Arabidopsis thaliana: one gene and its partner. The protein of the gene in region 1 purifies or fractionates together with the protein of each later gene. This does not show direct contact. Each region holds a gene or a part of one and is shown in the gene's direction. Other genes may lie near its edges.

Region 1 (2,768 bases):
AAAGGCGGATTTAGTGAAGTCTATAAGGTCAGAACATTGATAGATACTACATTCTTTTACATGTGAGAATTATTTTGCAGTAATATGATGTTATGGATTTTAAGCAGGCATATGATTTGGTGGACCATAGATATGTTGCGTGCAAGCTTCATGGTTTAAATGCTCAGTGGAGTGAAGAAAAGAAGCAAAGTTACATCCGCCATGCCAACAGGGAATGTGAGATCCATAAAAGTCTTGTGCATCACCACATTGTTCGGCTTTGGGATAAATTTCATATCGACATGCATACATTCTGCACCGTTCTGGAATATTGTAGTGGTAAATCAGAATTCTCCTATTCCTTTGTAGATCCTGGAGTACAGTTCTGAGTTCTCACTCTTATGTTTTGAATTTCTAATGCAGGGAAAGACCTTGATGCTGTATTAAAGGCAACATCTAATCTTCCTGAGAAAGAAGCAAGGATTATCATTGTGCAAATAGTTCAAGGCCTTGTATATCTGAACAAAAAGTCACAGAAGATAATCCACTATGATCTGAAGCCTGGTAATGTTCTCTTTGATGAGTTTGGAGTAGCAAAAGTAACTGATTTTGGTCTAAGCAAGATAGTGGAGGACAATGTTGGTTCTCAAGGAATGGAGCTTACATCACAGGGAGCTGGAACATACTGGTGAGCAATCTAGTTTTTGTCTCCTTGATATGGTCTATATTATTTTTGTCTCTTCTACTTCCGGACATCTTATAGCTAACAAGGTTCTATAATATAGGTACTTGCCCCCAGAATGCTTTGAGCTTAACAAAACTCCTATGATCTCATCAAAGGTCAGTGATTGGTCAATGATGTCATAATCTGATTATCTTATAGAAGTTTTGTGGTACTAAATTGTGTTGAAACTCAGGTTGATGTATGGTCAGTTGGTGTTCTGTTTTACCAAATGCTGTTTGGAAAGCGACCTTTTGGACATGACCAAAGCCAAGAACGGATACTAAGAGAAGACACAATCATTAAAGCCAAAAAGGTTGAGTTCCCAGTAACAAGACCTGCCATCTCAAATGAAGCGAAGGTAAATTAACTGTACCGGTCTTAAACATGGTTTAAGTAAAGTAGTACCAAATAGTCATGAAACTGTCTCTCCATGTTCTCACTTTTGCATTTTCTGCAGGATTTGATTCGACGGTGTCTAACATATAACCAAGAAGATAGGCCGGATGTTCTAACAATGGCACAGGATCCATATCTTGCCTACTCTAAGAAGTGAGATTGTGTAGTCTTCAAAAACAAACCAGAGATGCTAAAAGACCAGATCCTAGAATATTTTTTGGTATAGCTTATAAAGTTTCTGTTTTGTTTGTCTAAATATTTTATCTCCCGGCCCCTTGAACCATATTAATTTCGGGTGAAGTTAATGTGTCTTGTCTTCCTTTTATTATGTAACATGTTATGTATATTCTTCATGTTTTATAATAGAAGAAAGCTGAAAGTTGGAAACAGGCCCCAAATCGTTCTTGCTTCTCAGGTTTAAGACAATATGAAATGTGATCAATTGAAGAAATAAGAAATATAACAAATCCGGCTGGAGAATACTGGACTGGAACTGAACTAAACCGAAGAGTAAACCAAGACAAAACCGAAGATTGAAAATCATTGGCTTGCTAGTAAACTACTACGAGACAAAAGTCTACTTATCCCCCCACTCATACCACTAAAAAACTCACACTTGCTGGCTTCTTCTTCCATGGCTTTATCTTTTGTTTCTTCAACTAGATTCTCCAAGATGCAATATGGCATATGGCACAGTGGATCCTTCACGCAACGAGTCAGTGTGAGATGCTGTGAAATCGCAAACGAGGCTCCACGACCAAAATCGAAGCTCCAAGTAGGATCACCGATCATCATCGTCGAAGCTCCCAAAGTTATAAAAACGGCCGCTTCAATGCCTTGCCTTAGGGCCAACTCTGGCTTGGTCAAGCCTGGCGATGTTGGAAGGTCTTCTTCTTCTTCTTCTATTTTATACAGATTTTAAGACAAAACTCAGACTAATCATCTAAACAGTGTTTTCTTGCCAATTAAATTAGCTTAATTTTACTTCTCTTCTTTCTTATCCTATTGTTTTTGCAGAATCGTGTCGAGAAAACCAAAGGACTTGTGGGCAGTTAGACTCTCCATTGGAACATATCTTTTAGATGGTAAATATTTCAAAGCTTTAGAGCTTGACGAAGGAGATAGTGATTGAGAATTTGAGATCATGTCTCTAAAATTGTATAAGCAACAGAAAAATACGAATTATTATTTTAACATTTTGCCATTTTAAGTTTTGGCGCAACAATCTTATTAATGAACCGAAATTACCGAATCGAAAACCGTTAATTTGGTTTAGTGATCAACCCGAATCCAAACGGGTACAACGGGTCGTAATGCGGGTCACCAACGTTCATCGGCAACTGATCCACTGTCTTAAACCACGTCCGAGCCAATTTCCCGGTGAATCCATAATCTCCGAACAAAACATCAGCCACTCCTTGACCTTCCGTTCCCGGAAGCCACGCCGCCACTAGAGCATCGATGTTCGAAATCTGCATCACCACCGGACGTCCCGATACAACCACCACCACACATTTCACCGATGCGCACACGTTCCCGATCGTGCTCGGACCTGGTTCCGATATGGTTAAGTTCGTACTGTCTCCGAATCCCTCCGCGTACGGTTTCTCTCCGACGGCCACGATTGCGTAATCGAAGTCACCGGCCTTGACGAAATTGGTGTCGGGGT
Region 2 (2,811 bases), on another chromosome or scaffold:
TAGGTGGTCTGCGAGCTGCTGCCCAATCGATTAGTTATGAAATACCATTAACTCTATGTGTTTTATCAATATCTCTACGTGCGATTCGTTGAAACAGAAACGTTTATTTTTACTATTCCGTTTCTTCTAGACGAATCAGTTAAAAAACGGAATATATATTTATCTTTCGAATTAATCGAAATAATTAATAAAAGGAATTTGATAGTTATATATGAGTGAAAAAAAAACTGCTCTGAAATTTGCAGTAAAACGAAAAATGAGTCTCATTTCCTATGTACAAAGGTTAAACGGAAATAAACATAAGTGTAAGAATCACTTTACCCCAAGGTTGGTTGATTAGTCATCCTGACTTGAAGCGGGTTAAATATATTAACCGGTAACCGGATGACGTTTTCACTATCAGTTATATAGATTAACATACATGTATTACAAAGTGAGCGGCAATTAGGTAAAAGTGAGTGGATGGTTAGAAACACCAAAATACACAAAGAATTTGTAATAGAGATTAACCAAATTGAAAAGGATATTTAGGCCTAACATAAGATAAAAAAAAGAAGGTTAATTGGGGCTTTAAATTAGTAGAAATGATCAGACAGTACTCCCCAAGATTCCGATTCAGAGTATGCTCCTATCCACCGACAAATGTAATGACTATCAGAAACGAAATAATCCTTTATTTTTTATAAGTCTACCAACTTTTTTCTAAAAAAGAAAGAAGAATAGGAACGAAACAAGGCTCTTTTTTTTTTCATATATTTCGAAAATAAAATCGAATTTCTGTCATGAATAATAAAAAAATAGGATGTCTAATTATTTTTCGTAATCGAAAACCACGATGGGCTTAAATACTTTTTTTTTTTAGGAGTTTTTTATTAAAGGGTTAAGTTATTACTCAACAAATAGAAATTCAAATTTGTAAAGGGGTGAGATGAATTCCGAAGCGCGTTTTTTATTCTTAGAATTTGAGCAGACAGAATTCCATTGGTATAATTCGGGACCCCAGATATATTTAATCCATTTTAGAACACATCATATCCATCTAAATTATAATCTGGTCCTTAGATTTATTTATGGCCCCCGAGGAGCCGTATGAGGCCAAGACCTCATGTACGGTTCTGAAATAGCGGTGAAAATAGTAATGTTCTCGCCGACTAGGATTATCTAACAGTTTAAGTACAGTTGATATAGTTGAGGCACAATCAAAATATGGTTTTTGGGGATGGAATTTGTGGCGTCAACCTATAGGTTTTATCATTTTTCTAATTTCTTCCCTAGCAGAATGCGAGAGGTTACCGTTTGATTTACCAGAAGCGGAAGAAGAATTAATAGCAGGTTATCAAACTGAATATTCAGGTATAAAATTTGGTTTATTTTACGTTGCTTCTTATCTAAATCTATTAATTTCCTCATTATTTGTAACAGTTCTATACTTAGGCGGTTGGAATATTTCTATTCCGTATATATCTATTCTGGAGCTATTTCAAAGGGATCAAATTTTTGGAACAACAATTGGTATCTTTATTACATTAGCTAAAACTTATTTGTTTTTGTTCGTTTCTATCGCAACAAGATGGACTTTACCTAGGCTAAGAATGGATCAACTATTAAATCTTGGATGGAAATTTCTTTTACCTATTTCCCTTGGTAATCTATTATTAACCACTTCTTTCCAACTCTTTTCACTCTAAATTTAAAATGAATCTAATATATTCATTATTTGTTTTAAACAAGAGACAGAAACAAAGATAAAATTATTCAGAGATAATTACAATATGCTTCCTATGATAACCGGGTTCATGAATTATGGTCAACAAACCCTACGAGCTGCAAGGTATATTGGTCAAGGTTTCATGATTACCTTATCCCACACAAATCGTTTACCTGTAACTATTCAATATCCCTATGAAAAATTAATAACATCGGAACGTTTCCGCGGTCGAATCCATTTTGAATTTGATAAATGCATTGCTTGTGAAGTATGTGTTCGAGTATGTCCTATAGATTTGCCTGTTGTTGATTGGAAATTGGAAACTAATATTCGAAAAAAACGATTGCTTAATTACAGTATTGATTTTGGAATTTGTATATTTTGTGGTAATTGTGTTGAGTATTGTCCAACAAATTGTTTGTCAATGACTGAAGAATATGAATTTTCCACTTATGATCGTCACGAATTGAATTATAATCAAATAGCTTTGGGTCGTTTACCAATGTCAGTAATTGACGATTACACTATTCGAACAATTTGGAATTCACCTCAAACAAAAAATGGGGTAAACCCTTTAATTTGATTAAAAAAAGAATTCCAAGTTGTTGAATTATATTTATATAAAGAATTTAATTAAAAACTTGTATTGTATTTATATAATAATAATAATATTAAGTATTAAGGCACATTCTTTTAATATAATATATTCGTAATTACTTTCTTGAAATTGATAGGTTGAAAATACACTTTAGAAAAAAAAAAAGAGAAAACAGCCTAATACTAATAATTGTATCTACATCAATTCATATCCATTAGATTCTAATTTCACTCTATTTAGAAACATATAAAAAACAAATTTCCTGGTTAAATTAATAAGGTCATGAAAAGGATTTCGATTTTTTCTTATTTTAATAATATAATGGATTTGCCTGGACCAATACATGATTTTCTTTTAGTTTTTCTGGGATCCGGTCTTCTAGTAGGGGGTCTGGGAGTGGTATTACTTCCCAACCCAATATTTTCAGCCTTTTCCTTAGGATTTGTTCTTGTTTGTATATCTTTATTGTATATTCTATCAAATTCCCATTTTGTAGCTGCTGCAC

The links. Proteins that work in one complex are often made in the same cells at the same time.
Region 2: the proteins of CRR42 (region 1) and ndhI purify together in Arabidopsis thaliana (affinity purification with mass spectrometry, with the first as the bait; one study listed by BioGRID). This does not show direct contact.

What each region holds. Positions count from the first base shown.
Region 1 is NC_003076.8:7,101,715-7,104,482, forward strand, and holds CRR42 (DUF3148 family protein), read left to right. Parts: upstream 1-1,669; 5' UTR 1,670-1,733; coding exon 1,734-1,984; coding exon of another isoform or gene 1,985-2,021; intron 2,022-2,116; coding exon 2,117-2,231; downstream 2,232-2,768. Other genes in the region: TSL (Protein kinase superfamily protein), read left to right, coding at 1-27, 108-318, 403-667, 765-819, 897-1,061, 1,161-1,256; AT5G20940 (Glycosyl hydrolase family protein), read right to left, coding at 2,362-2,768. UniProt on the Arabidopsis thaliana protein: Required for both formation and activity of the chloroplast NAD(P)H dehydrogenase (NDH) complex of the photosynthetic electron transport chain.
Region 2 is NC_000932.1:118,724-121,534, reverse strand, and holds ndhI (NADH dehydrogenase subunit I), read left to right. Parts: upstream 1-1,772; coding exon 1,773-2,291; downstream 2,292-2,811. Other genes in the region: ndhA (NADH dehydrogenase subunit 1), read left to right, coding at 1-78, 1,159-1,688; ndhG (NADH dehydrogenase subunit 6), read left to right, coding at 2,628-2,811. UniProt on the Arabidopsis thaliana protein: NDH shuttles electrons from NAD(P)H:plastoquinone, via FMN and iron-sulfur (Fe-S) centers, to quinones in the photosynthetic chain and possibly in a chloroplast respiratory chain.